Linked DNA regions of Canis lupus familiaris. The protein of the gene in region 1 purifies or fractionates together with the protein of each later gene. This does not show direct contact. Links are inferred from orthologs where the notes say so. Each region holds a gene or a part of one and is shown on either strand. Other genes may lie near its edges.

Region 1 (15,389 bases):
AGCATACCTACAACTCTAATACCTATACACAGCCTTTCCTATTTCTTTTTCTTTTTTTTTTTTTTTAAGGATTTTATTATTCAAAGAGAGAGGCAGAGACACAGGCAGAGGGAGAAGCAGGCTCCATGCAGGGAGCCCGACATGGGACTCGATCCCGGGTCTCCAGGATCACGCCCCGGGCTGAAGGCGGTGCTAAACCGCTGTGCCACCAGCTGCCCTTCATTTTATTTTCTGATTCCTCAGGGGATGGTCATAGACTCTCATCCTTGGAGGAAACCGAGGGACAGGTGTGTGTATGAGGGGGTGGGTAGCAGTAAAGGAAGAGCAGGTGGGCTGTCCCCTGAGGCCAAGCACTGTCTGGAGGTATTGCCCTAACTTATTGGACTAGGGAAATCTATCAGTTGTCCAGACATACTGAGTGATTAATTCCAATTTATAGATCAATCTCCAAAAACAAGCCAATTCTTACCAAGGCTCCAAAAACCTAAATTTCTAAAGTCATTAAAAGAAAAAACCAGGGACGCCTGGGTGGCTCAGTTGATGAAGTGTCTGCCTTTGGATCACTCAGGTCATGATCCCAGGGTCCCGGGATTGAGCCCCGTGTCAGGCTCTCTATTCAGTGGGGAGCCTGCTGCTCCCCCTGCTTGTGCATGCGCGCTCTCTCTCTGTCAAATGAATAAAATCATTAAGAAAAAATCAGTACGTCATTCATGTTCACAAATGAAGCAAAACCACGTTTTCATTAAAACAAAACAAAGAAACAAGCTCCAGGTTTCAACCCAGACAACACAGTGCCTATCTTGTGTCAGGTGCTGCTCTAAATCCTTTCTGAGTGACGACCTTTTAAGGGGGTTAAGTAGCACATACTGTCCCTCTGTACTGTGAGAAAAAGGGCAGAGCTGGGACTCCAGTCCAGCCACACTGGCTCTGGACTCAGCACTGTGAACATGTGCTGTTTTACTGGAGTCTGGATGGACTTCTGAGGATTACCTGGCTCTAGGGCAGGTGGGGACAGTGCTGGAATCCAGGCACACTTGTCGGGTGAGATGCACCATAGCTGGTATGTGGATACTGGTGTGGGATAGCCTATCATTTGGTGCCTCCCACATCCCTGGGTTACCCTGGTGGTCAGAGCTCCCTACTTGGAACCCCAGAGCCCTAAGGAGCAAAGGGGACCACCTGGTGCCAAGGACGCTTTGCACAGCCTAAAGTGTGGGCGGGCTGCCACACACGCATGTAATTTTCACCAGGCAAGAGCAGAAGAACTCTAGCTCCATTTTTCCAATGTAAAGTTTGCTACAGACTTAGGAATCCTGGTGACAACCTCTGGTCCTGCCAGCAGCAACAGCCCTGCTTGCAGGATAGTGGGAAAAGATCCAGTGCTCTTCCCAGGTCTGCCTGTAGACTCCCTGGTCCAGCTCCTGGTGGCATCAGAGCCTCAGGTGGGCAGAGCTGCTCCCCGGGCCTCCCTGGCAGCAGTAAAGTGGGGTAATAATGCTCTGACCAGCCAAAGCCCAATGCCAACGTCTGCAGAACCCCAGATGAAAGCCTCCGTAAAATCCCAAGCCTTTCATGTGCGTGTCTGCGTCCCCCCAGCTTCTTGTGCTCACCCCCAGCTTGCTGCCAGGCTAGAAGCAAACTGCAACAATCCCGGGGCTCTGCCTGTCTCAGAGTACAGCGAGGTCCCGCCAGGAAACGCGGGGTGGGGCTCTGGAGGACCCCAGCAAAGCCTGAGGAGGAGGCTGAGGAGGGGGTGGCCGAGGGGCCTCCGGGAGCCCAGCGGGGCTCGGGCAGCGCAGGCCCAGGCTAAGGGTCCCAGGGTGGCTCACCGCCCACCGGCTCACCCCAGGACCCGCTGCACCCCCGGGCACGGGGTCTCCCTGCCTGCCAGCTCGGGGACCCGCCGATCCCCCATGCCCGGGGTGGCCCTGCCTGCTCGCTCGGGGACCCGCCGACCCCCCGGGCCCCGGGTCGCCCTGTCTGCTCGCTCGGGGACCGCCGACCCCCCCGGCCCCGGGTGGCCCTGCCTGCTGGCCCCGGAGACCGCCGACCCCCCCGGCCCCGGGTGGCCCTGCCTGCCAGCCCCGGGGACCGCCGACCCCCCCAGGCCCGGGGTGGCCCTGCCTGCTGGCCCCGGAGACCGCCGACCCCCCCGGCCCCGGGTGGCCCTGCCTGCCGGCTCGGGGACCCGCCGACCCCCCCGGCCCCGGGTGGCCCTGCCTGCTCGCTCGGGGACCCGCCGATCCCCCCGGCCCCGGGGTCGCCCTGCCTGCCGGGTCGGGGACCCGCCGATCCCCCCGGCCCCGGGTGGCCCTGCCTGCCAGCCCCGGGGACCCGCCGACCCCCCCGGCCCCGGGTGGCCCTGCCTGCCGGCTCGGGGACCCGCCGACCCCCCCGGCCCCGGGGTCGCCCTGCCTGCCGGGTCGGGGACCCGCCGACCCCCCGGGCACGGAGTGACCCCGCCTGCCCCGCCGCGCGCACTCACCCTGCTCCCCAGAGGAACCTGACATCTTAGAAATTCCAAACCAGCGGCCCCTATGCCAGCTTCCCAGAATCTGATGCAACCACCGCCCCGGAAGTCCCGCCCAGCACCCGCCCCACCTTCCGGGATACGCCCGGTCGCCAGGCAACCACCGCGGACTCCCGACGCCCGGGCTCCGGGCATGCTGGGAGTTGTAGTTGTTACTGCGCCACGCGCGGCGTCATGGAGCATCCTCGAGGCCACAGGGTCCGTGTCCCGACCTAAGATGGGGGGGGTGGGGCAGCGCGGAGGCGCGGGACTCGCTGGAGGTGTGGGGGTGTTGGGAGGATGTTGTAGTCCTCCCTGGGACACAGGCATTAAAGACAGAATCCACGCGTGCCTGTTTAAGTTAGCATTGCACCAAGGGACATAGGGACAAGCCCAAGCCCAAGCCCAAGCCCCAGCCCCAGCCCCAGCCCCAGGCTGGCGGTCGAAAAGGGATGGAGGACTACTTGGAAAGAAACTTAGAAGATGGGATTTGGGGACACCTGAATGGCTCAGCGTTTGAGTGCCTTCAGCTCAGGTCGTGATCCCGGGGTCCTGAGATGGAGTCTCGAGTCCAGCTGCCCACAGGGAGCCTGCTTCTCCCTCTGCCTGTGTCTCTGCCTCTGTGTCTCTTATGAATAAATAAATACAATCTTAAAAAGATGGGATTGGAATGGATGGGAAGTGCATTCCTGTCACAGTACCATCCAGCAGATAACCTAGCAGAAAGCAAACCATGGAGAACTTCACTGTTAGTGCAGAATGCCCTGGAGCAGCCCTGGCAGGAGACGGGGACTTGAGGGACAGGCCAGGGCTTGACCTTTTTGGAGCATCTTGTAAACAGAGTGAAGAATGGTATGGACCCACTGAAAGTTGACAGGATGAGGCATGACTGGATTTGTGCTTTAGAACTCACACATTGCCGAGGCCTGGAGATCCAGGGAGAACAGGACTGGAAGCCTTTACAGTCTACAGGGCAGCGAAATGACGGCCTGGATTAGTTGGGTGAGTGCCCGGTCCTGGGAGAGCCCCACAAAGCAGCAAGCCCTGGGTGAGGCCTGGGAGACAAGGGAGTTGGTAGCGAACCACCTCTGGGTTAGCAGAGTGATTGTAACATTTACTTTCACTGGAAGTCAAAGGCTTGGTACTGAATGGAAATAAGCAGGCTAATCTGTGAACACATCCAGGAACTGATGTTTGGGGTGAGGAGGGCAGAGCAGAGCTCACATTCTGAGGCATGAGTATTTCTGGACATAGAGACCCCTGGGGAACACAAACCAAAAGAGGCTTCTGCAGCTTTGGACCCCCATGCCAGAGCCCTCCCACTGGCAAATTAAATCCTGGGGGTCCATGTCTTCCTCTGTGCACGATACCCCCTGCCAGGGATAGCACACCCAAAGTTGTGTACACACCGGAAAGAAGAGGAAACATTATTTAAGATAAAAATTTTATTAAAAATAAATAACAAAAGTGCTTGACTGGCTCCATTGGTTAAGCATGTGGCTTTTGATTTGAATGTAGTGGAGCCCGCCATCAGGCTGGGCAGCTTGCTTAAACTTTCTCCTCCCCTTTCCCTCCCCCTCTGCCCTCCACTCCTGCACAGTATCAAAATAAATACAAAAAAAAAACCACAAACACAGGAAAACACAACAGAAAAACTTATACTTACTAAACTAATGCTAACTTTACAATAAAATTAAATGCTTCGCTTATTGTGGTCAGTGACTGAAAGCAGTCACTAAGGTGTGATTGAGGAATACTGCATTTCATTTATATCCTGTGCATTTCATTCACATCCTGGACATAAAAGACTTCAGCACAAGCAGCTACATTGTTTTAAATAGAAAAACAATTTCCCTTGGGGAAAGTTCCCTGAGGAATGTTAATCTAGTGAGGACCTGCTCACCCCTGGTTACACCTTGGCCACGGGTGATTCCCACAACTAATCTTGGCAGGAAGCACTCTCACTAAAATGTAGTGAGACACTGTTAATGGACGCACATGATTCTTTCTAACTGAAAACTGAGAAGTTTCCAAAAGGTAGACATTGGCATAGGTCAGATCCTGTGTGAAGGCATAATCCCATGCCAAAAGTTTAATCTGAGGTCTCTGCATGCCTGCCTAAGATGCCTTCAACAAGTAGTACGTTGATAATATTTTCCAAACACATATGCAGCTGCATTTTATGTAGGGCAGCCAACAGTTTAAAAACTGAGGCTTCCCTTCCCAGCTTGTTCCTCCACCTGAGGAGCATCTTATGATGCTGCTCCGTCAAATTGTCTGGGTTTTCGTGCTCGCAAGTTTCAATGTCCTTTTCTTCAAGACCGATAAGTCTCATCAGAGATTTCCAGTTCTTGTCCAGGATCATTTCTTCAAATTCATAATAGAGCCTGGTGGTACCTGAAAGAAATAAGAACAAAAAAAAACCACTTTACATTTCTGGGAGGACTGTGTGGCACCTCTTGTCACTACTCCCCAGGGGTGCAATCACAGGTGTCTCCTCCTGTCCCCTGGGGACTGGGCGACAGCTAGCACACCATACCCAGGAGGTAGAAGGTCCTGTGCGACCCCCTACCAATGTCACAGATTGGGTACGAGGCCAGGATACTGAGGTGGGGCCACAGCTCTTGCCCTGCTTATTGCTCATCACTGGAGCTTGGGAGAAGGAGCCAAGGATCCGGGACAGTTGGGGGCTGCACGGGGATCCACAGTCTGCTGCAGTTCACTTGCCCTGCTTCTCTCTCTTAACATCTCTTGATAGAGGCTGTAGGCTGCTCAAGACTGAGAAGGCCTGGTGTCGGCTGGGGACCACGGTTAGGATCTGAGACCTGGCACAAGTTTTGCAACCTATCAGTTTCAGACTGTCGTGTTTTTAAGCCTGGACAATGGGGCGGTCTTGTAGAGCTGCCTGTGAAGATGAACTATACAAAAAGCACCTGGCATGTGGTAGGTCTCAATCTTTGATGACCACCAAGAAGGGCCTATTCATCAAGGGTACAAGCATTCCTACCACCATTCATTCCTCCTTAAAAGACATGAACATATGATAAAATCAAAGCGGTATCTAATTTCTATGAACCCCCCCCCAAAACTCATGTTTGACAAGTGCTGTTTCCCCTAACGTCATTCTTGAGTGTGAAAAAGCGCATCTCAGGTTGGCACACGGTCCTTGGAAACAAGGACACCAGGCCTTGACACATAGGCCAAGCAAGATGAAGGCTTAACAGTTGCTATAAATGAGGAATTCAGGGGCACTTGGGTGGTTCTGTCAGTGAAGTGTTTGCCTTTGGCTCAAGTCATGATCTCAGGGTCCTGGGATTAAGTCCCACATTGACCTCCCTGCTCAGTAGAGTCTGCTTCTGCTTCTCCCCACTCCCTCTCCCTTCCCCCTGCTCATGCCCCACCCCCGCATTCTCTTTCAAATAAATAAAATCTTTTTTTTTCTTTCAAATAAATAAAATCTTAAAAAAAAAAAGGAATTCAGAATATGTACCTTCATTTGATGTATCTTTTACAAAATATCTCTTTGCATATTCCTGTGGAGGGAAAAAAATAAAATTGTTCCAGGAGAAGGAGGCTGAAACAGAACCACAATCTGGTTTGAGGAAGGAGCAGGGTGGGGGCAGGTGGGCCTCTATGGATATGTGATGTCCTTCGAGGAATCCACCATGGGGGCAGAGAGCTCACCGGCCACTTATGTCCTATGGGTCACTGTCCCCCAGGACATGCCCTGGGCCCAGAGGCAGCTCAGTGGTCCCTGCCTGGGCAGGTGGGGAACAGCTCTACTTTGTCACCTGGGGGTGACCTGCTCTGCTCCAGGGAATGCTAACAGAGAGCACACTTGTCCATAGAAATGCATAGTGAGATGCTAGGAGACTCAGATGCAGTCTCCCAGTGGAGGCCCACACCAGCTGCACCCAGCTGCCCATGAGCCGCAGCTCCAAAGCCCACTTCTCCTATGGGGGAGGTCAGGTTCCCCATCGGTGTCAGGCTACCTACTGTGGACATGAAAGCCAGGCCTTCAGACCCCAGCTCTGCCTCGCACCCAGTGCTGTTGGCCCCAGAAAACGACTCCCTGCTCTGTGCACTGGCTGCTTGGCTGTAAAACAGGGTAAGAAGGGAGGTGTCCTCATGGCACAGCCTGAGAGGGAGCCCCCTGCCTCCTGACACTCAGAGCTGGCAGGGCTCCCAGCTTCTGTACTGATTCCTCTCAGAGCCTCGGGGAGTCTGAAGACACTCAGGGGCTGTCTCCCTCAAATGATGCCTAAGAGCACCCAACCCAGGAATGCAGTTTCCACAGTGCAGTCTGCAACCTCTGCACCCATGCCAGGGGGCCCCAGGGTCCACGGCATCTGGCACAGAAGCCCTGGGACCTCTTCCCTGGGACTCACCTGTGCCCTGCCTGTAGGATTCAGAAGCCAGACCGCATCATTCCCTAAACATGGGCTCTGTCCTCCTCCTCCTGAAGAGCCCTACTCCCCAGAGCCACTTAGCGGGTGTTGGTGTGCCAACCCAAGACATGCACGCGCTCAGAGGCTGTGGCGTCATGCACCTGTGGGCTCCTGTGGGTGGAACTGCATCCCCCTGGACACTAGACTCCAAACCTGTGTATGTGACTGCAGCCAGGAACAGGGTTACGGCGGATAGGAAAGTTATGACAAGGTCATGGGGGGCCCACTCCAACAGTGACTGGTATCCTCACAAATAGGGGAAATTAAGACATAGACTTGCACATAGGGAGATGCCACGTGAGGATGGAGGCAGAGGGTGGGGTGACGCTTCCCCAAGGAGCCCCAAAGACTCCAGAGGCCTGGCACAGATGGGCCCTCTCAGCCTCGGGCAGATGCAGCCCTGATGACACGCCATCCCTGGGCTTCCAGCCTCCAGGACACGGAGACAAGGAACACCTGTTGTTTAAGCTGTCCCAGGAAACTCACACAGGAATTGTGCAAAAGCATGCATGGCACCAGTTAACACCGAGCTCTGCACACACTGAGTGCTCCATGAGCACAGGCTGTCATTACTCAGACCCCCTTGGCTGGCTCACGTACCTGTTCCAGACTCTTAAGGGAGGGGAACACTTCATTCTGGTTCTGTGACACAGAGACAGCCAGAGCAGGAGTCTGTACCACCTGCTCTGGAGCTGGGGGGCTCTCTCTGACCACCACATCCTGCAGCTCGATGCCCTCCTCGGTCTCCTCCAAAGGCCTTGGGTGGGGGCTTTCCTCAAGCCCCTCCTTCAGCAACAATGTTTCTATGTCCAGGGCTGGCTGGTGATTTTCGGGGTTCGAAGGGAACAGTATCTCAACCTGCAGAGGGCAAAGACAAAGTTATTTTGGTCACAGCAGCCTGCTGCACATATTCCGAGGGGAGGAGGATGCCAACTGTCTGATGGGTAAGCAGGAAATGTAGATTTTTTAAAAAGATTTTATTTATTCATGAGAGAGAGGCAGAGACACAGGCAAAGGGAGAAGCAGGCTCCCTGCAGGGAGCCCGAAACAGAATTCGATCCCAGGACCCCAGGATCACGACCTGAGCCAAAGGCAAACCCTCAACCACTGAGCCACCCAGGCATCCCTATGCAATTTTAGAGAATATTTCATGGGGTGAAATCCTTGCTCTGCCAGCAACTCCTAGTGGGGGGCATCCCAAGACCCCCCAACTCAAGCCTTTGGTGGGTTGAAGGGGGGGCCCCCAAAGATACAGGCAGATCTTGTTTTACTGCACTTCTTGGGCAATAGTCTTCACAGTACTGAACCCCCAGGCACCCCCCAGCACTAAAGCATCTTTTAAGTAGGGTATGCACACTGTTTTCTGAGACACTGAGCTATTGCACACTTGATAGACTATACTATGGTGTAAACATAACTTTCATACACTCCAGGGAAATGAAAAATTCATCTAACTGGCTTTATTGCGCTGTGTGCTCTACAGGCAGTGGTCTGGGAGCACCCCAGTGTTGTGTCTACATGTGCACATCCTAACCTCTGGTACCCCAAAACGGACCCGACTACAGGAATTCACACTGGATTAATGCAAACCCTAAAGCTGGTGGTCAGTGTCCTCCTGAGAGACAGACTCTGTCTGAGATGCATAGACTCGTGATGAGAACCAGAGATGGGGTGATGCCTCTGCCGAAGAACCAGGGTTACCAGCCCTGACTGCAGAGGCAGGAAGGAACCCCCCACAATAGCCTCTGAAGGAGCCAGCCCCATGCATTCCCGATGCCAGAGTCCAGCCTGTAGGTATGGAGACAAGAGGCTCTATTGCTTCATGCTTCCCAGTGTGTGATGACCTGTTACAGCAGCCCCAGGGCATCACGCAGAGCCTTCTGCCCCTCTCTGCCTTATTTTCCATTCTGGCCTAGACCTGCAGAATTTAAGTCTTCTTCCAGCACATTCTGGGGCTCTAACAAGGCAGGTGCAGATGAGGCTGGGAAGGCAGGGGCTCCCGCGCTCCCGCCCCCGGGATGTCTGCTGGGACTCTGCACCCACCAAGGCCCGGAGCTATCATCAAGCAAACTGCAGAGCAATACTTACAGTGCTGCTTTGTTCGTCCACCCTTCCTGAAGACCAAGAAGAGAAGAAATTAACAAAAAGGGCACCTGTGAGGACAAGGACTTCCATGAGGGAAAGAATTGCTCTGAATTCACGACAAAGTACTTGCCTTTCAACAAGCTGATGAGCCTCTGGTAGAGCCACATACCTGCGGAAAGCATGGGAGGTGAGCTTCCTCGGGGCACTCTGCCAGCACCGGGGGCCCCTGCCTCCACCCAGGCACCCCCATGCGGACACAGCACTGGTCTCTCCCCACCTCTTGGCCCACAGCACCTCGGACATGGCATCTGTAGCCAACCGACCTGACCTGGGCTTAAGACCTGTGTGCCAGAAGCAGGTGGCAGGCAGCCCCCAGTGCGTGAGTTCCGAGCTCAGGCACAAGAGTAAGAAAATAAACACAGCTGTGTTCTAAATGTAAAAGACCCCATCGGGGTCTCCTAACACCGGCTCTCCACTTCTGACCTCCCGATGCGGTTGCTGAGCTGGCTTTTCCAGGACTGACCTGATGTGAATTTATACCTTTCTTTTTATAGCAGTAAACGAGGAGGAAGATGAGGGCGACGACGACGACGATGACGATGATGGTGATGGTGATGACGACCAGCACAAACATTTGGAGGGACCCACCTTCGGGTTTCTTTTCTGGAAGGAGATGTAGCAGAGAATGGTAGAGTAGGGTCAAGCATACTTTCCTTGCTCAAGTGACGTGCTACAGCCAAGTTCCCGCTCCCAGGAGGGCCTGCAGCACTGCAGTCTCTCCAGGCCCCAAGCCCTCTCCCGCTGATCATCGTCTTGAACGTCCCAACTGGGAGGCAGAAAAGGCTCATGCTTCCTGGGTCACAGATGAAGACCCCAAGCTCAGAGGATGTGGGATCCTGCTCAGGTGGCTGGAGGCGGGAGGAGAGAGGTCGGCATCGCCAGGAGTGCAGCAAGAGGTCCTGGTATCCCAGGACAGAGCTCCGGCGTGAGGGGTCACAGCCACCTCCAGCAGGAGGCAGAGGACGGCCAGTCCTGACTGAAGCCATTTTTTGACTCAAAGATTTTCTTTGTGCTCAGGTTAGATCTTTCCTAATCTGTTCTTTTTTTGGGTGTTAAAATATCCTTTAAAAGTGCAAGTCACACGCATCAAATTTTTTTGGTGGAAATCACCAAGCCAATTCTGCAAGGTAAATGGACACACCAACGTCCAAGAGCAGCCTGACAATATGGAGGAAGAGCTGGGGGACCCGGTGCCTTGGACGTCGAGGCCCGCTGTAAAGGTGGGCTTGGCCCGAGATTGCACAGAAGGAAAGCCTCCCGCTCATAGGGATGCTCGCTTTACAACCACCTGACACTGCCTACAGGTGAAAGGGGATGTCTGCAAAATACTACATGGGCTCATTTGTATGTACGTCTGGAAAGACACACTGAACCTGGACCTCCTACCCCATGCCACGCAGAAAACGAAGGCCAGGGCAGCCCCGGTGGTGCAGCGGTTTAGCGCCGCCTGCAGCCCAGGGCGTGATCCTAGAGACCCTGGATCAAGTCCCACATCAGGCTCTCTGTATGAGGCCTGCTTCTCCCTCTGCCTGTGTCTCTGCCTCTTTCTCTCTCTCTCTCTCTCTCCCTGTCTCTCATGAATAAATAAATAAAATCTTAAATAAATAATAAATAAATAAAAAGATTAAAAAAAAAAAGAAAACGAAGGCCAGGTTCACTGTAGAACAAAATCAGAAAGGTAAAAAAACCACTAACTGTCTAGAGGGGAGCCCAGGTTTCTCACACGGGACACAAGCGCTCCAGCTGTACAGAAGCCAGTAAATGATAAATGAAGGGCGAGAACCAGGAGATCCCCCGGCGTGAGTAAGGCACCCCGCCGAGGAGGGGATACTCCCAACACAAAGGGACTTTAGCCTAATTTTGTCAGTAATTACCAACCTTTATAAATACAGCTCACCCCTGAACAACTGAGTTTTGAACTGTGAGGATAACTTAGGTGCGGATTTTTTTCAATAGATATGGTACGGTACTGTACACATTATTTTCTCTTCCTTACAAATCCCTGGATCCCGTTTTCTCTCTAGTTCAAGTTGTTGGAAAAATACAGTACATAGGATACGTGTAACGTACAAAACAGGAGAGAATCAACTCTCCGTGTCACCACTACGGGTTCTGGTTAACTGTAGGTGATTAGTAGTTCATATTTGGGGGGGAGGGGGCAGAATCAAACATTGTACATGGATTTTCAACTGCGTGGGGAATCGGCACCCTTCACCCCATGTTGTTCAGGGGTCAGTTTTAACTATCAAAACTAAGAAAAAACCCTGCCTATGATCCTATATCAAAGCAGGCATGAGTCTTGCACAGACACTCAGCCCAAGTATCTGTACAAGATCAAAGGCTTCGGGCATCACTTGTGCCTGCCTCAAATCCTCATGTCCCTCTACAGACGAGGAGCCCCTTGAAGGCAGGGACCTGGTGCATGGCTTTAGGGATCACATGAAAGGAGAGATGGGAAGGGGTGCTACTAGGCAGGAGAAAATTGCAGGCCTCACGGAAGCCAGCCATGCCACTCCCCACCTGCTCCGTGGGGCACTGGACACGAGGCAGGACATGCCAGCCCACACAGCCGTAGCTCATCACCATGGTATCAGTTTGTTTACTCAAAGAGGTCTGTGAACCATGGCCCGTGGGCCAAATCCAGCCCATTGCCTATTCCTACAAGTCAAGTTTTAATGGTACCCAAACATATCTGTTTATTTACTCTGTCTTCTTTTGCTATGGCAGCAGAATTGAGGAGTGACAACAGACCGTATGGCCTGCAAAGCCTAACCTGTTTCCTTTACGTGAACAGTTTGCTGACTTGGAGTTAAGAGATGACATCAAATTCTTACCTGATGTGTCTGTAGTATCCTGTGTGTTGCAAACTGTATCCCTTGTGGCATTGCACGGCGAGCTGACATGGTCAGGACAACTGAAAAAGTGAAGAAACCTGGAGTATTATTTCTCCCTGCCAGGGTACAGCCCAAAACATCCTTCTCACCACCCACAGGCCAGGGGTTAGAGGAGCCTCAGTTCCCAGGATGGCCCACTAGCTTTCAGGAAATCACTGCCTGGCATCTCCCCAGCTGTCTGGTCCAAATTGGTCATTGAAGAGTAAAGCTCTGTCCCACCCTTTGTGGTGTATTGGGGGAGGGGGAGCCTCCCTGTTTCTGCATAGAGCTGAATGTGACTGTGAGCACTGGCCCTGCTGTAACTGTAGAAGTTAGTGCAAAGGTGAAATGGAAAATGGGACATGCAAGAGAATCCATAGAAACCAGAACCGTAATCAAACCAGACCTGAAAGCAGTCCTTACTATAGACTTGCCAGATACAAGAAGGTACAGTTCAACAGTGTGAATCATATTAGTTTACAACGTGCCTCACAAACAAGAGCTATTTTCTCAGGTGGCTTTGCCACTATCACTGTCCCCATTAAGGTCCTCCCAAAATCCGTGCCCACTCAGAACCTCAGAAAATGATCTCATTTGGAAACAGGGTCTTTGCAGACCTGATCACATTACAATGAGGTCACACCAGACTGCTCGATGACTGGCATCCTTACAGGAGGGAAATTTGTGTTGGGACAGACAGAAGGCCATGTGAAGAGACAGACACACAAACATGAGAAGAGGACCTCGAAAAGACAGAAGCAGACTGCAGGTAAGCCAAGGAGCACCAGGAGTGCTGGCAACATCAGAGGCCAGAAGAAGCAAGGCAGGGTCCTTCCCTAGAGCCTGCAGAGGGAGCACGGCCCCGACTGGTTTCAGACTTCTGGTCTCCAGAACTGTGAGAGAATACACTTCTGTTGGTTTTCTCAAAACTACCCAGTTGTGGCGCTGTTACAGCACCACAGGACATTCACAGTGACGATGGTCATTCTGCTCTGCCACACGGCGCCGTCCAAGACAGCTCTTCCCCCGGGAATCCTCTATTGCTCCCTCCTACCCCCGCTGGGCCCCTCTATGCCCTTGCCCCTCCCAGACACTGCTGCCTGTGTCTGGATGGTCTCCACCACTACTGGGGGCTTAGAGTCTGCAGAACTGTGGGTACGGGAGGGGCCCACGCCCACGTCTCCAGGACCTTTGACACCGGAAGCAGTTCTCCACGCAGTTTTCAGAGTCACAAAAGTAGCCGGGCTTGCACTGGCACTGCTGGTCACGGGTCGCTGTGCATGGAGAGACTACCTCCTGGTCTATTGAAAGGGCAAGGCTGAGGGTCAGTGCGAGGCCAGGGCCGTCCCCTCCCACACAGGCTACGCCCAGCACCTTGGTGGAAGGCATGAACCCTGTCCCGGCGAGGGCCACCTGCTCAGAAACCACCCATACCTCTCCATTTGCCGCGGGCCCCACCAAGGACAGCGCACTGCTGCCCCAGGTGCTGTGTGCATAAAACCTCAGAGGGAGGGCAGCCTGAATGGTTCATGGTTTAGTGCCACCTTCAGCCCAGGGCCTGATCCTGGAGACCTAGGATCGAGTCCCACATCAGGTTCCCAGTATGGAGCCTGCTTCTCCCTCTGCCTGTGTCTCTGCCTCTCTCTCTCTCTCTGTATCTCTCATAAATAAATAAATAAAATCTTTAAAAATAAATAAATAAAACCTCAGAGAGCAAGGATGGCAGACAGGGGACCCCTGCCTCCTGCCATGCTGACATCAACCCCACAGGGGGAAGAGGGGGCCCTTCCGCCGTCCTCAGGTTGAAGAGGACTTCTGCTTCTCTGCTCTCCCCGACGAATGTTTGACACCTGCACTGCAACTCCATCAGCCTACTGGACGGTGACAGCACGTCTGTCTACTCCAGCGTTTTTTACGTGTCTGCTGGTCACCTATGTCTCACCTTTGCCACATCTGTCTCTCCACTTGAGTGTTTTTTCAAGCCTCCTTCCTAATTTGTTTGTTCTGGATGTGATTCTGCATGGCTTATAACATAAATACATTCTCCCACTTTGCAGCCTAACTTTCTAAAAGCGTGGGTATCTTGCAATAATAGAAGTTGGTCATTTGAACGCAGTCACTTTCACCGACCTCATTCTTAAGGTTTGTGACTTTTAGGACTCCCATAAAATGTTTTTCCACTGCCTCGAAGTCATACTCTGTATTTTCTTTCTTTTTCTTTCTTTCTTTTTGTTTTTTTAAAGATTTATTTATTCATGAGAGATACAGAGAGGGAGGCAGAGACACAGGCTGAGGGCAAAGCAGGCTCCTTGTGGGGAGCCCAATGCGGGACTCGATCTCAGGACCTTCAGGATCATGCTCAACCACTGAGTCACCCAGGTGCCCCCATACTCTATATTTGCTTCTTAAAGGCTGACTTTTCACATTTGGCCTATGCTTCAGGAGTTGACTTGTGTGGGCAGCGGAAGCCTCCTGTCCTGCATTAGAGCCTGCTCTGTGTGGACAGCCAGCAACCTGGGCCAGCAAAACTTGAGATGCCACCCTTCCTCCTAGGGGTGGTAGGGGGCCCAGTCACCGTGCCACATACCACCTTCCACATCGATGGGGCTGTCGACTCTTCCACTGGCCTTACGTGAGTATCACACGCGGTCTCACTGCTTCTTTTTTTTTTTTTTGGTCTCACTGCTTCTTTGCACTAAGCCTTAACACATGGAGAGCCAGTATGCTCTTTCCATTTCTCCTGAGTGTTTCGGTAACTGTCAACTCATTAGATTTCATGAAAATATCTGTTAAGATTTTTTTTTTTTTTTAAATAAGAATTGTGGGGGCACCTGGCTAGCTCAGTCAGTTAAGCGTTCAACTGCTGGTATCAGCTCAGGTCATGATCTTGAAGTCATGGGATGGAGCCCAGCATGGACTTTGCTCAGCGCAGAGTCGGCTTCAGTTTCTCTCTCCCTCACCCTCTCCCTCCCACTCTTGCTCTCTCTCTCTCAAATAAATAATACCTTAAAAAATAATAATAATATATAAAAATTCTGTATTTAAAATATACAGCATGATTGAATTATTTTCATTGGGATTCTTCCTGGGAATGCAGAGTCTAAGATCCATATAATGGAGAACTGATTTCTTTAAAACATGGAGTCTTCTTACTTATTATGTAGATTCATGTGTAGATTTCTTTAAATGTTGTTTGTTCACATTAACATTTTATACATCCTTTGCTAAATTTATCTCAAAGAATCCTATTTTTTGCTAATGCAAATAGTATCTTTTAAAAAAAATTACATTTTTTAAAACACTTGGGGGATGCCTGGGTGGCTCAGTGGCTTAGTGTCTGCCTTCGGCTCAGGTCCTGATCCTGGGATCCGGGATCGAGTCCCACATTGGACTTCCTGCATGGAGCCTGCTTCT
Region 2 (16,188 bases), on another chromosome or scaffold:
TGACCTCCAATCACCTCCCTGATCTGTAACATTTGCACAGAAGTTGTAGAAAATGAGAGGATGAAAGAACCACAGAAAAAGAAAGGATCTAGATGGAGAGTATGAAACATCCATTTGGCAACAAAAACATACCCAGAATCACCAGGCGCAATAAAAGTAAATCCATTTAATGCAATGGTCCACTCCATCTTTCTTTTTAAAGACTTTTTTTTTTTATTTGAGAGAGAGAGAAGGAGAATGCACGAGCTAGGGGAGAGGTAGTGAGAGAGGAAGAAGTAGACTCCCACTGAGCAGGGAACCCAACGTGGGACTCAATCCCAGGACTTGGGATCATGACCTGAGCCAAAGGCAGACACTTAACCGACTAAGGCACCCAGGTACGCCATGGCCCATTCCATCTTAACCAAAGTTAAACTTCCATGAGGGCAAAGTTCTCCAACGTAGCCCAAGTACCTAAGAGTAGCTCCCCAAGAATACCTAAGAGTTCTGCCCGACTTGTAATTTAACTCATGACAAATAAATATCTCAGTGTTCTCTGGACAGAGCTTTTCTGTCCCAACCTTTTTGTTTAAGTATTTTCCTCCATTTGGAAAGCCCCTTTCCTCCTCCCAGTCTCCACCTATTGGAATTCTATCCCATCTTTCAAGGCTTCTCTTCCATAAGCTTACCTTGATCCCTAAGTCAGGTCATTTCCCACTGCTCTGTAGCACTGTTTTTACTCTCTTCCAATATTTATCTTATTCTAGTTGGGTATCTATCATATGTGGTAAAGTCCTTGAGGATAGGTAGGTCCTCCTTCATGTTCATTAGGCTGTGGTGCATCTGGCCAGGCCTGTCAAGCTCACCCCCCCAAGAACAGACTGGTCATGATTACACAGCTCCAGCAAGCCCGCACATGTGTGATGCCTACTCATCCTTTCGTAACCTACAATGAAGCAAGACAGAGCTGGTGTTGCTGTAGATATCATGCTTGGAACCTGGCTGTTAGATCCAGGAAACAGCTTGTGAAAGGAAGCTTTGTAAATATAGGAACAACAATGCAATTGTTTCAGAATGGCTTACAGTGTGACTGCAAGATCCTGGTGAGCCGCCATGCAGGGCATCCTACATGCTGGCAGGACCTCATCTTGAACAGGCCAAATCCAGTGTCTCTAGCCAGACTCACCGGACAGCCCCTGGCCTTTTAACAAAAGGTATATCTCCTGTTCCTTTAGTTAAAATTCTATCCTTTGCACTTATCACAATTACTAAAACTACAAGATTTATGTTCAGGATTTTCATTTTTGCCAAACCTCTGGGCCAGTCCTCTGTGTGTGGTATAAATCTCCTATGATGGCCTCAAAAGTGCCTAAATTTAAAGAATTTTTTCCTCAATAGGACATCACCAAAATTACTAATACCTTGTATGAGATGGTATAAGACACAACTAATTGTCCATGAGCTATCACTTTTTCACTCATGTTATTGAGAAACAGCCATAGGACAGTGTGAAGCATTTACTACATTCATCAATTTACTCTGAGGCTTCAATTTCCTCAAAACAACAACAGGCAAAGCTGAGTTTGAGCAAGATTCCAAATTTCAATGCTTCAGCAAAGCCTGAGTTCAGAGATCAGATCTTAATCCCAAGTACTGCAAAGGAGGGCTGTGACCTAGCCTCAGTTCTTTGTAGGTATCTGAACCATTTAGTGTCATCTTTATCACCATGCAATCACAATCAGGAAAATATACAATCCTTCTCTAAGTTTTTATCAAAGGAATCTAAGGCTCAAGAAACAACCCTCTGTGGGGTGCCTGGGTGGCTCAGCGGTTGGTATCTGCCTTTCGCTCGGGGCTTGATCTCGGGGTGCTGGGATCAAGTCTTGCATGGAGTCCCGCATCAGGTTCCCTGCTCAGTGGGAAGCCTGCTTCTCTCTCTGCCTGTGTCTCTGCCTGAATCTCTGTGTCTCTCATGAATAAATAAATAAAAATCTTAAAAAAAAAGAAACAATCCTCTATGTCCAAGGTATCAATTATGCCCCACTAAAATAAAATATTTAGCAGACATTTCTCTGCCCTGAAGCCCATTTATACAAGACTAGCTTGAATTAAAAATTCAACCAAGCAGGTATATTTGCTCAGTTTATATAATGGATTCTCCAAGGTTGGCCCATCAGGAGATAGTCCTGTTCAAAATCATAAGTCACCTATAATACCAGAGATATACAGATCTTGCAATTCTTTTTACACAGCATTCTTTTTTCTAATTACAAAAAGTACTACTTGTGTGCTACAAGAAAACCTGGAAAATGGAGAAAAGTACAGAAGAAAATAAAAATTCCCCATTTGCTCCAGCCCCATCACTATCTCTGGTATCTATTAAATGGTACCCAGCTTCTGATCTCCTGTCTGCTCCCACTTTCTAGGTTCCTTGACATTCCAGTTGACAACCCACCTAAAAGATAGACTAAGTAAATGTAGGTGCTCAGTAAATGCTGAATGAAGGAATTCACTTATTATTGATTTATATTATTCAACTTTGTTTTTTAAATAAATTTTTATTTATTTATGATAGAAAGAGAGAGAGAAAAAGAAGCAGAGGGAGAAGCAGGCTCCATGCACCGGGAGCCTGACGTGGGACTCGATCCCGGGTCTCCAGGATCGCACCCTGGGCCAAAGGCAGGCGCCAAACCGCTGTGCCACCCAGGGATCCCTATTTTATTCAACTTTGAATCAAGCTTTGGTCATTCTTGCAAGGAATTTGGTTTATTCATAGTTAGTATCCAAACAAGATTTGTCATGTCCCTACTCTTTAGAACAAAATTAATGATTATTAAAACTATACTTTCTGGAAGCTTCAAGTAAAATCCAAAACCAAAACCAAACAAAAAAGATATAGTAAGCTAAATGGAAGATCCAAAAGAAGTTTAAAAAAAAAAAAAGAAAAAGCTCAAGAATTTGACAGCTAGATAAGGAAGCTTGGGTTCCCACCTATAAAATCAAATAATAGAAGGAAGCCATTAGCCTGAAGAACATTTTAAACCTTGGAGTAAGTAGCTATGAGGATTTTTTAAAATTACATTGAAAAATTTCAGTATAGGGATCCCTGGGTGGCACAGCGGTTTGGCGCCTGCCTTTGGCCCAGGGCGTGATCCTGGAGACCCGGGATCGAATCCCACGTCGGGCTCCCGGTGCATGGAGCCTGCTTCTCCCTCTGCCTATGTCTCTGCCTCTCTCTCTCTCTCTCTGTGACTATCATAAATAATAAATAAAAATTAAAAAAAATTTCAGTATATAGATATTAATGTAAATAAAGTGGGTTAATTTCTCCAATTGAAGAGTTCACTGCAGAAGACACAAACCATCTTGAATATATAGATGAATGTGGTATCACATGGGTGAAGGTTAGTTCTTCTAAGTACTAAATTACCAAAGATTATAACCCCAATAGGAGGAAAACAACAAAGAAGCTGTTTGCCTGTTTTGCACAAAAATTTAAATAAAGACAAAGTGGCTAAAAGCAGAGATCATCAGAGAAAGAAGCAGTTTCATCTGCAAAGAATATATATACATATTGTGTATATGTATATATATATACACACATATATATACATACACACACATAGACATATATATTCATTCATTTGTATGTACTTGGAGTCAAAGAAGAAATTACTTCTCTGAACCCAGAATTGAGGGAGAAAAAACTTTGGGGCCATATGAACAAGCAGATGAATTAAATGGAAATTATGGATACATATGTTCTCAAAAACAAGGAAAGTGGTCATTAGGAAAAAAATCTTTCATTAGAAACACTGATGCTAGAGGCGAATGAAATTCCATCTGAGAAAAGCATAGATGTTAATAGAAAAAAATAAACACCAGTTCTGATATGCAATTGAAGACACAGCATCATACAAAATAAGAAAAAAAATATTTTAAAACACTTAGAAGTCTGTATGTAAGTGCATTAAATGTCTGAAAAAGACATTAAACACTGCAACCTTCTCTTATCTTAGGGAATGGGCTCCTGAGGGCTTTCTCTATTCACTTTGCAGGTACTTAAACACAGATAATCACAATACAACTTCACTGAAAAGTTTCTGAAGAAAAGTATTTACAATACAGAGTGTTAAGTGCAATCATATGGTAAGCGTAAAGACAGCCACCGTGTGTATGAAAGTATAGAGAAAGGGGACACGTGGTGGTGGGTTATGAAAGCTTCTGAGAGGAGGTGACAGGAGCTGAACATAAAGGAGAAATAGGGCATTGCAAGAACGATAATGTTTGTTATCTCACTGATATATAGTAAGGAAAGCAAGAATGAGTGTAATTACGTAGGCGTTGCCCTCTGTTATCTGTCATTATTTCTCCAACGTGGCCCAACAGTCTTCCCCCCATTCGTGGCTGTCAGCGGCCCCTGGGACGGCTACCTACCTGTGTAGGTAACTGCTCGGTCTCCCCTAACCGCTCTGTGAGCTCCTGGGGGGTAAGGAACCAAGTTCAGATCCATCTCTAGGTCCCCAGCGCCCAGAACTCGGCCTGGCCCATAGGAGCTCAATAATGTTGGTAGGATTACATCAAATCAAAGGAGAGGAGGCAGTTCAGTCCATAAACACGAGTTTAATTAGCCTTTGGGGCCCAAAAGAAAGAAAGAACCAAACGGAATCCATTCCTGAGATTTTAAAAAAGTGACATGCCTGGTGATCTGACTGCCGCAGGTGAGTCCCCAGAAGGCTCCAGAACAGGCCAGAAGGGCTAAAAAAGCGGTTCAATCCTTTTCCGGGGGGTGGGGGGTGGGGGTGGGGGTCGGGGACAGTGTCCTTCCACCCCCGGAGCCCAGGCGACTCCAGCACGACGCGCAGGTCGAGAGAGGAGGGGCGGACGGGATTCTTAGTCTACTCACGCCCGGGCAGCCCGGCTCCCGCCCGACCTCGGGCGGGGGTGAGACCCGCCGCTGACCGACTCGCAGCTCCGGGAAGCAGGCCTTGCGGGTATTCCAGAGACTGGGCGTCCGCGTCGCCCCGCTCGGCAGGTGCACCCTCCAGCGGGCTCCCGACGGCCGCATCCAGCTAAGTCTCTGCGCGCCTCTTCCAGGCAGCCCACAGGAGACACGGTTCGAGAACTCTCCGCCCCCGCACCTAAAAAACACTCCGCAAGCGTACGTGGGGCAGTCCCGAAACTCTTCTTTGTCTAAGCAAAGCGCCACGTGGAACTCGGGGGAAATTACGTGCTGTTGGCGGAGAATGAGTGGGTGCTGCGGCTGTGCCCCCATGTCCTGGCAGGGAGCGGGGCTGTGTGACTCAAGTGCCCCAGGACCAAAGCTATTTTGGTTTCGAGCTTCCACTAAGCCCCTGCTACTGCCGGAAAAAAAAAAAAAAAAAACCACCAAAAAAAAAAACAACACACAAAAACCCTGCCCGAGACTATACTCCCACCCACTCCCCCAATCGCGGGGTGCAAGGTGCACCCCACTCCTGCAGACCTGCAGGCGGCTTCACCGTCGAAAATGGGTGCAAGCTAGTAAGGAATATAGTGTTAAAGCGAAGTGCAAATGTCAGTTACAAACAGAAATAGAAAACGTGAAGTCGTAAGAAAAAGCCATTTTAATCAGGATACGCATCTCAAAAGCTGAAAGCAAAACAAACGTTAACATGAAAAGTGAGGGCAGCCTGGTTTAGCGCCGCCTTCGGCCCAGGGCCTGATCCTGGAGACCCGGATCATGGCCCACGACAGGCTCCCTGCTTGGAGCCTGCTTCTCCCTCTGCCTGTGTCTCTGCCTCTCTCTCTCTCTCTCTCTCTCTCTCTCTCTCTCTCTCTCTCTCTGTGTGTGTGTGTGTGTGTGTGTGTGTGTGTGTATTCTAACGAATAAATAAAGAAAACCTTTAAAAAAAATACGTGAAAAGTAAAAATTTCCGTGTGACATTCAAGATCCCCTTCCAAACCCGAGTCTTTTCTTTTGCCTTCTTTGTAGTTTTGGAGTTCAGCCAAATTTTCTCCCAATGAAACTTTTTTTTTTTTTTTTTGTAAGATTACTTAGGGGGAACCATGGAGGGAAAAATACCAAAAATTCTGTTCCACTTCTCTGAAATATCTTACCTAAACTAGGCCAAGCCCACCAGAGCCCAGTCTTAGTTTTAGATTATCCGGGTTTGTCGGTGACATATTCCATCTCTTTGTTGTCATTACCGTCTCATCGTGTAAGTAAATTTCAAATGTCAACAACAAATGAAAATAATTCGGGGTTTTAGGGCCTTTTACTAACCCGCGCCCTACTCATTTCCTGTTCCCTAGGGCCAAAACACTCTTCCGTGGCCTTTGTTCTATTGCTTTCCCCTGTAATGTTTTTCCTTTTTCCCCCCTGTAATGTTTAAAAAGAACTTGTCCTTCTGCCCAAATCCGGACACTATCAAGCAGGTACATCTTGAAATCAACATTTCCCAGCTCTGGGGAGCCTGGGTGGCTGGGCGGTTGAGACCAGGTTGAGACCTTGGGCTCAGGGCATGATTCCAGAATCCGGGATCGAGTCCCACCCAGCTCCCTGCCAGGGGCCTGCTTCTCCCTCCGCCTATGTGTGTGTCTCCTTCCCAGTCCTTTTGAAGGAGGGGCAAGGCGGGGCGCGGGGCGCAAGTCCATGGGACGGCTTTACAAACACCTTGCCCAGTCATTCCAAACTTTAGCAAAAGAAGTTTCCTTGCAATTTCTCAAGATCTGTTGGTCCCCTGTTGTGAAAGGCAACCCTTGACCTACTTCACCAGACTGTTGCGATAAAGTAAAAATTCCTGCCGGGCGGGCTGCTTCTGCAGAGACACGTAATCACGGAGGGGGGAAAAAGGCTCATCATCAGCTTTTCGAAAGTTAATTGCCAAATCTTTGGAACAGTTTACCCCAAGAATTGAGCCACCTGCACAAAGAGGATTTTAAGCAACGTTTACTCGTCCCCTGGAGTAAGCTCGTCCTCTGGAGCTTCGATGTGGGGCAAGGGTTACGCGGGCCCGGGCGCGCCTGGCAGCGGCGGGGGCGGCGGGGGCGGCGGGGGCGGCGGCAGCCCCGGGTGGGGGCCCCGCGGCCGAGCAGGTCGGGCGGGCGCCCGCGGGAGGGAGCCGGCAGGAGGACCCTAACCGAGGGATCGTCCGCCAGGAGGCCGTCTGCTCCCCTAACCGTGACCTGGCGGGTGCCCCCGGCGGCCGAGCAGGGCCCGCGGGCCCGGGCGGAGGAAGCCAAGGGAGGACCCTAACCCGGGGATCGTCCGCCAGGAGCCCGTCGGCTCCCCTAACCGAGGCCTGGCGGCCCCCGCCCCAGGTCAGCTCCGGAAGGAGCTAGTGCAGCAGCAGCGGCGAGGGGCGGGAGGGGCGGGAGGGGTGGCCCCCGAGGCCCTCCCCGGCTGGCTGGGTGGGCCCGCGCCCGGGGGGAGTCGCGAGCCGGGGGAGCAAGCCCTGGGCACGTACCAGCCTGCTTACCGCGGGACTCTTCTCGAGCTGCGCCCTATCGACTTCGCTGGCGATGACGCCCCAAAATCCCGAGCAAGATGGAGAAAAGGAAACCGAAAGCTTGAGCCCGCAAACGGACGTGTCGCCTCCCTGCTGGCCCGCCTCCATTGGCCTTTCTCCCTCGAGGCGTCTCTCGGCGTTCATGCTGGGGAGGTTTGGTGACCGACGCTCCCTGGGTCGGGCCCAGACACCCCCTTAGCCCCCCACTCACCAGCCCCCAGTGAGCCCCTGTGAATTAAAGCACTCCTGTGCCACAGCCAACCAGCTGTTAATCCCCTCCACTGTGTAGGGGAGCAGACTGTGGCCGCAAATGGGTCTCTGTGGCACGTGGATTACTTTAGGGGATTATTTTTGAGAAACAAGACTCTGGAAGGAACTTTGACCCTCCCTATAACTGTGTATAGATAGTATATATTTGACTGATTATATATATAAATATATATATGATTATATATTGATTATATCTGAATATATATATTATATAACTGATTGTATTTTATATATATATAAAGAACTTGTCCTATATATGTTAAGATTTATATATATCTTGTCCTTCTATATATCTATCTATATATATCTGAACATAGATATATAGAAGAACAAGACATATATATATATAGAAAGACAAGATATATATATATATCAAAAAGATACATACATATATATAGAAGAACAAGACATATACATATATACAGGACAAGATATATATATATATATATATATATGTTTTTTAATGTGGAGCTTTTAATCCATGTTAGAATTCAGTTGTAACTTGACCATAAATTTAAACAGAAACCGGGATCCCTGGGTGGCGCAGTGGTTTGGCGCCTGCCTTTGGCCCAGGACGCAATCCTGGAGATCCGGGATCGAATCCCACGTCGGGCTCCCGGTGCATGGAGCCTGCTTCTCCCTCTGCCTCTCTCTCTCTGTGTGTGTGATATCATAAATAGATAAAAATTTAAAAAAAATTTAAACAGAAACCATCTTCTGAGACATACATTCTAATATATGTATCAACAGTAGTGATAGGCAACCAAAAGTCGGTTATTTCAACTCATTAGTAACATTTCACTTTTCTATCCAACATAAACCTATAGTGGTTTGCCCCAATTACATAGCTGAAACACTGTCTTATGAAAACAAAATGAAACAAAATTAAATAAAATTGAAGATAAAAATACTCTGAAGTTAAAGCAAACTACAATCCTTGGCGGATCAATCAGGTAAAAAACATTGGTGAGTGTTGGAAGCACAGGATAACTGACATGAACCTTCAGCACAAAGTACATCTTTGAAAACATGAAACAATGACTCTTTGGAGGACAATAGCTAAATACCCAAGAATCATCAGGTTTGAAAAATATTGCTTAATCACTTCCCAAAACACAGCTGCAAGAACTGATTACATATTATATGATATATATTATATATATAATCTCTGAACATAGATGGAGGACCTGCCCTGGGAAAGGAGAGATCACCATAGTCAACTACAGCATAATATGAACTAGGTGTTTTAGACCGGGAAGAACTTAGCAAAGTCTGTTTGTTAAAATTCCTCTCTATGTCCAATTGTTTCTGTGCCGCCCAGCAAACATTTGTTTACCATTTACTCTTTTGTTCCTCTGAACTCTCTTCCTTCCCTTTGAAGTCCCACACCTCTGATCCCCTCTCCTCTCTGGATAGCATGTAAGCCTCACTCGCCTGATTGCCTGCTAGGTACACAATTAAATTTTATGTTCTCCTGTCATATGTCAATTTAATTCTTAGACCAGACAAAAGAAACTTGAATAGTAAAGTAAAATCGTCCTCTTCCTCAGTAACTGAATCTGCTACGAACCTAGGGTGTTTGTCTAAAGTAGTTCTGGTTGTCATAGGAGCAAGCAAGTGCTGCTAGTGTTTGTGATCAATGCATGGGAATAATATTAAATAACAAATGTGAAAGCACTTTATATTTTAATCTATTTATTCCTAATAACCACTTTGTGATTTTTTTTATTTCTTAACTTTTCTTGAAATCAATTTAAGCTTATAGGAAAGTTACAAGAATAATGCCAAGAGATTAACTACTGGCATGACAACTAGAGGAACTCAGGTGACCCACTCCCTAGTGAAACTGATGAAAATTATTTATTTATTTTTTAGGAAGAGAGCTTGCACGTGCATGGAGTGGGGGTGGGAGGCAGAGGGAGAGGGAAAGAGAGTTCCAAGCAGGTTCTACGCTCAGCCTGGAGCCCAATGTGGGGCTCAGTCTCACAACCCTGACTGAGATCATGATCTGAACTGAAATCAAGAGTCCTACCCTCAACCAACTGAATTACCCAGGTGCTCCTGATGAAAATCATTTTAAAACAAGCCAACAACAAACAATCATTGAAAGCCTTGGAAATAGTCCTATGAGAAAACAGCAAATGAAAAAAAACATATATTCAAGAAAATCTATGAAAATTTGATAAGAAATGTGAGTGAGAATCTGTGGTATTTCAATCAAGACCACTTCAAACTCCTAACTCACCAGAGATCCATCTGCTGCAATCAAGAATACAGAGCCTCTTCTCCCCACAATCCCAGTGGGAGGAGCAGGATGTCAACAATTCTCACCAAGCGCCTAGCTACTACCTGATACTAAGGCTAAGTCCTGAATAAGTGTGGTTGAGAAGTGGAGGATCCTTTTTCCATCCAGCCCACTCATGGAACAGAGGATCTACCTGGGGCTGGAGTGCTGAGAATACTAGAGTTCTAATCATCCTCCCGAGCCTAGGAAGTGGTAGTTCTGTTGCAGGATTTCTTTTCCTTCAGTGCCTGCAGATCTTGGTCTTGCCTGCTTTGAAGAATGATGAGGTAAACCAGACAAAGAGTAGTGGGAAGCAAAGCAAAGTTTATTGAGTGATAGTAAAGCAAAGTTTGTTGAGAGTACAAAGCTCCTGAAGAGGGTGGAACCCAAGAGGGTTGCTAATCTGGCATTTAAATTTAGGGGGGTTTTATGGGGTCTTTCGTGTGGATTGTTTAAATTTGATTAACCCTTGCCTGTCACCCAATCAGGTTTTTGTTTGCATGCTCATCTACCTATCAGGTAGTTGTTCAAGGTGGGACATGGTGGAGGGCTCCTCCAGGCTAATGTTTTGTAGCCTCGGGGACCAGCAGCCACCACTGCCCTAAGGCATGCTGGTTCCTCAAAAATTAAACATAGGAATACCTTGGGAGAGCTGCTGCCTCCAAGTCCAGACTCAAGACTCAACCCTGCACACCACCAACACCAACCAATGAGCCCTCCTGAATCCTTTTGGTTCTGAGTACACTATGACAACTCTCAAGGATTCAGAATCTTCTTAAGGAAGACCCAACCCCCCAGAATAAAATTGCAGTTGTTGGGGTTGGTGCTGTTGGCATGGCTTGTGCCATCAGTGTCTTAATGAAGGACTTGGCAGATGAACTTGCTCTTGTTAATGTCATGGAAGACAAATTAAAGGGAGAGATGATGGATCTCCAGCATGGCAGCCTTTTCCTTAGAACACCAAAAATTTTCTCTGGCAAAGACTATAATGTGACTGCAAACACCAAGCTGGTTATTATCACAGCTGGGGCATGTCAGCAAGAGGGAGAAAGCCATCTTACTCTGGTCCAGTATCATGTGAACATCTTTAAGATCATAATTCCTAATATTGTAAAATACAACCCAAACTGTAAGTTGCTTGTTGTTTCCAAGCCAAAGGATATCTTGACCTATGTAGGTTGGAAGATAAGTGGCTTCCCCCCAAACCGTGTTATTGGAAGTGGTTGCAAACTGCATTCAGCCTGGTTTGTACTGGAGGGAAAGGCTGGGAGTTCACCCATTAAGCGATCATGGGTGGGTCCTTGGGGAACATGAAGATGTGTATTTACTGGTGTTCTATAACTTCTGATTCTTTCACCCAACATTCAACATGCCTAGTCCATCTTTTTTTTCTACAGTCAGTCACATCCTGGGATCCCATGTATAAATTCAATATTGCATGTATTGTGCATAACTGTTCTAAAGGATCTTGTTTTGTGTACTATACATGTCAGAAATAGTGCACATCACCATATAATGTAAGAAGTCAATGCAACCAATTATCTAAGTATCATACCAACAAAAATACCAAACAAACTTTGAATGAAAAAAATAGTAATACTACAATATCAAAAGTTATACATGGGGGCACCTGGCTGGCTAAGCTGGGGGAAACTGTGACTCTTGATCTCAGGGCTGTGGGTATGAGCCCCAGGTCAGATGTAGAGATTACTTTTAAAAAATGAAATATTTTTTTTAAAAAGTGTTGTATGTGGATTTTTGGCTGTGATTGGCACCCCTAACCCCCATGTTGTTCAAGGGTCAACTGTAGTATAATCTTGTGGTAGATATATGGGTGTTTACTGTAAAATTTTTTTCAGTTTTGCTCTATGATTGAACATTTCTATAACAAAAGGTTTGGGAAGAAAACACTGTGCTGAGTGAAAGAATCCAGACACACAAAAAGTACAAATATGGTTTATTTTACTGTACACAAAGTACTGTGTGGTTTATTTATACAACATTCTAGAAGACAAAATAAATCTATAATGACAGAAAGGAAATCAGTATTTGCCTGAGAGGAAAGTGTTGATTGTAAAGGGGCATAAGAAAAAATTTGAGGTTATGGAAATATTCTGCACACTGATTAGATAGCAGTTACATGAGAGTATATATTTGTCAAAAATCACTGAACCATACACTTTAAACGAGTGCATTTATTTATGCAAACTACACATTGAAAAAGTTGATTTTAAAACAAATAGGCAAACAAAAGTGGATTGGAAGCTCTGAGCTTCCAAATGGGTCTAATCTCTTTTGAACATCTCAGTGGAGTATCTGGTTGAGCTATTTCCTTGGGGAACCTCCATTGTCAGTACGTTCAAAGTTTTCCTTTAAATTGTTCAGATTTAGCAGAGATGACTCTTAATCTCCCACCTACAAAGGAAAGAAAGGCCTGGCTTCCAGAACTCCCCAAGTGGAGTGGAAAAAGACCAATGAGATTTCCTAATCTGAGAGGCATACCTCATCTTGGTTGGACACATTGATCTGCTCCCCTCCCCACTTACTGAAACGGTTTCTTCCTAAAAGGAGCCAACCCTCTCCAGAAAACCTCCCGCCTTTCTGGTCATTCCTTGTCAGTCTCTCTATAGATAGACTTCCTTTCCTTTGTTTGTTCCTTAAATATTGGCTCTGTCCTTGACCCTCTTCTTTTTGTCAACCAGGATCTAATTGTCTTTTGTCTCAGGGATCACACATTCCTCTACTGTGTTTCTCTCATTTCCATGTCTATCTGATTTCTCCTAGGTCTGTTGGAGTCCTATCTGTTATCTGCATCATGAAGCACTAGAGGGATATGTTGAGTACAGGGAGAGAGATAATCAAGGTCAAGGGAAAGAGAAATCATCAGAGCCCAAGGCCACCAGCTGGTTCAGTGATGTCCCAGGCCTGGGGGGAGATGCTGACGCAGATGGAGGCCAAGCCAAGGTACAGATGTGGCATTTCAGGGTCATACTGGGGCTGTTCCTTACTTGCGTTGACCTATTTCCATGCTGTTGCCCCACAGTGAGGAGCCCTTTCTTAACAGAAAGTAAATGTTCAGACACTCTGGTTTTCCTTTTCTTTTGACTGAGCATTTTATAATAAAATGTTAGAAAAGAAAATATTATTCTAAGTGCAAGAAGTCAGACATCGAAGAGTACGCACTGCTTCAGTGCCTAACACTGAAGTTAAAAATAGGGCTAACCCCCCATGGCTCAGGGCAGACTCCAGTGGAGAGACCATCATGCACATATCTCCCCTGGGGCCTACAAAGATACTTTGACAAGGAGAGCTACCATTTGAGAATAGACATATGATAGCTATGATTTTATCATGGGTATATTAATATGCTCATTAATATGCATATTAATATACCCATCAATTCATGTAATTCTCTGTAGGAACCATTGTCCTCATTTTACTAATTCGAAAAACTGAAGCTTAGAGTGGTGTAATAATTAAGTAACCAGAGTTTTAATAATTGGCAGAGCTTCAGTTCAAAAGCAGGGAGTCTAAAGTAGTCTAGAGCCCAGGCTATCAGGCTTGTTGACTGTTGTAACTAGAGGTAGCTATGTTGAGAATAGAATGGCCCCCCTCCCACTTCCTATGGAGATAGTGCTACCACTGATCTACTGTCTCCATAGTTTTGCCTTTTTTTTTTTTTTTTTTTTTTTAGTTTTGCCTTTTATAGAATGTTACATAGTAGGGACACACAATATGTAGCCTTTTCAGATTGGCTACCTTCACTTAGTAATATGCATTTAAAGTCCCTGAATATCTTTTCATGACTTGATAGCTCATTTCTTTTTAGCACTGAATAATATCCCATTGCCTGGGTGTACCGCAGTTTATTTATCCATTCATCTACTGAAGAACATGTTGTTGCTTCCAAGTTTTGGCAATTATGAATAAAGCTGTTACAGTCATCAATGTGCAGGTTTTGTATGGATATCAAATTTCAACTCCTTTGAGTAAATACCAAGAAGCAGGATTTCTGGATTGTATGGCAAGAGTATGTTTAATTTTATAAGAAAGCACTAACCTTTCAACGTGCTGGTATCTTGCATTCCCAGCAGCATTGTATGTGAGTGTTTCTTGCTCCACATCCTTGCCAACATTTGGTGTCAAATGTTCCAGATTTGGGCCATTCTAAGAGAAGTGTAGTGGTATCTCATTATTGTTTTCTTTTTTCTTTTTTTTTTTCATTATTGTTTTCATTTCTATTTCCCTGATGACATATGCTGTGGAGCATCTTTTTATATACTTATCTGCCATCTGAATGTCATCTTTGGTAAGATGTCCAGGAAGGTCTTTGGCCCATTTTTAAATGAGATTGTTTTCTTTTTGAGTTTTAAGATTTATTTTTTATATTTTGAATAACAGTCCCTTATCCAATGTGTCTATCTATTGCTAATATTTTCTCCCAGTCTGTGACTTTTCTTCTCATTCTCTTGATATTATCTTTCACAGAGCAAAAATATTTCATTTTAGTGAAGTTCATCTTATCATTTATTTATTTCATAAATTGTCCCTTTGGTTTTGTATTTAAAAAGTGATTGCCAAACCCAGGGTCATTTAGGTTTTCTCTAGTGTTATCTTCTAGGATTTTTATAATTTGGATTTTGCATTTAAGTCTATGATCCATCTTGAGTTAATTTTTGTGAGGAGTGTAAGACCTGGGTCTAGATTCAATTTTTTTGCATGTACATGATCCAATTATCCCAACATAATTTGTTGAAAAGACTACCTTTGCTCTATTGCATTATCTTTGCTCCTTTGTCAACAATCAGTTAACTATATTCACGGAGGTCTATTTCTGGGCTCTCTATTCTGTTCCACTTATCTACTGCCAATACTACACTGTATTGATTGCTGTGGCTTTATAGTAAGTCTTGAAGTCAGATAACAACAGTCCCCCAAATTTGTTCTCCTTCAGTACTATGTTGGCTATTCTGGGTCTTTTGTCTCCCCAGATGAATTTTAGAATCAGCCTGTCAATATCCATAAAGTAATTTGCTAGGATTTTGTTTGAAATTGCGCAGAATTTTATTGATCAAGCTAGGATTGGTTCAGTTTTGGAGAAGACTTATAACTACTGAGGGGTAGGAGAAGTACTATTTTGGAGATAAAGTGATAATAAATAAGTTAGTAAAAATCAGCTATAGACAAATGGAGGGATTTTAGCACAAATTTCTTAGATGTGATAGTGGCATTATGATCATGTAGAAAATTGTTCTAGTTCACAGGAGATAAATACTGCAGAATTTAGGGGCGCCTGGGTGGCTCAGTCCATTAACCATCTGCCTTCGGTTCAGATCGTGATTCTAGGGTCCTGGGACCGAGCCCCACATCAGGCTCCCTTTTCAGCCGAGAGTCTGCTTCTCCCTCTCCTCCCTCCACCCCCCCCCCCAGTTTATACTCTCTCTCTCTCTCTCAAATAAATAAAATCTTTTTTAAAAAATACTAAAGAATTTAGGGATAAAGTATCATCATGCCTGCAAGTTACTTTCAAGTGGTTCACCAAAGTGTGTGTGTGTGTGTGTGTGTGTCTGCCTGTAGAGAAAGAGTATAACAAATATGACTTATTGTTACCAATTGGTGACTCTAGATGAAGAAAATATATATGGGGCACTTGGTGGCTCCACCAGGTAAGTATCTGCCTTTGGCTCAGGTCATGATCCCAGGATCCTGGGATTGAGTCCCATGTTGGGCTCGCTGTTCAGTAGGAGCTTGCTTCTCCCTCTCCCTCTGCTGCTCTCTCTCTCTCTCTGTCAAAAAAACAAATAAAATCTTTTTTAAAAAAAGTGTATGTGTATTCTTTAAACTTTTCAGGTTTTCAGACTTGAAATGCTTGAAAATTAAAATTTGAAAAAATATCTATATATGATTCTGATATTCTATCAATTGTATTTGGAATGCAATGCAAGATATTTCATACACATTTTGTTTTAAAATTGTTGTATTGAGTTTGGGCAAGGATATAAATATAAATATTTCCTATACAAATATTAGTCAAAAAACAGTGTACCAAGAGGAAAATATGTTCTCTGAAGTTTGTTTGTTAAAAAGCAAGATATATATATATATAAAAAAGCAAGATATATTCCACTGAGAAGACAGGAATCAGGGAGGTGCTTTGCAGGATGT

Evidence for each region.
Region 2: the proteins of tumor necrosis factor receptor superfamily member 10D-like (region 1) and CFLAR purify together in Homo sapiens (affinity purification with western blotting; 5 studies listed by BioGRID and IntAct, with this or other methods). This does not show direct contact. The link is inferred for Canis lupus familiaris from reciprocal best matches to the Homo sapiens genes TNFRSF10A and CFLAR.

Annotation. Positions count from the first base shown.
Region 1 is NC_049239.1:47,459,603-47,474,991, forward strand, and holds the end of tumor necrosis factor receptor superfamily member 10D-like, read right to left. Parts: intron 13,277-15,389; coding exon 13,165-13,276; intron 12,017-13,164; coding exon 11,937-12,016; intron 9,706-11,936; coding exon 9,583-9,705; intron 9,212-9,582; coding exon of another isoform or gene 9,173-9,211; intron 9,111-9,172; coding exon 9,046-9,110; intron 7,816-9,045; coding exon 7,558-7,815; intron 6,606-7,557; coding exon of another isoform or gene 6,528-6,605; exon of another isoform or gene 6,506-6,527; intron 6,043-6,505; coding exon 6,000-6,042; intron 5,841-5,999; exon of another isoform or gene 5,268-5,840; intron 4,907-5,267; coding exon 4,602-4,906; 3' UTR 4,150-4,601; downstream 1-4,149. Other genes in the region: CARS1 (cysteine--tRNA ligase, cytoplasmic), read right to left, coding at 2,486-2,510. UniProt on the Homo sapiens protein: Receptor for the cytotoxic ligand TNFSF10/TRAIL. The adapter molecule FADD recruits caspase-8 to the activated receptor.
Region 2 is NC_049258.1:10,118,313-10,134,500, reverse strand, and holds the start of CFLAR (CASP8 and FADD-like apoptosis regulator), read right to left. Parts: upstream 7,648-16,188; 5' UTR 7,428-7,647; intron 5,121-7,427; 5' UTR 4,942-5,120; exon of another isoform or gene 4,886-4,941; intron 4,744-4,885; exon of another isoform or gene 4,680-4,743; intron 4,660-4,679; exon of another isoform or gene 4,417-4,659; intron 900-4,416; exon of another isoform or gene 669-899; intron 1-668. UniProt on the Homo sapiens protein: Apoptosis regulator protein which may function as a crucial link between cell survival and cell death pathways in mammalian cells. Acts as an inhibitor of TNFRSF6 mediated apoptosis.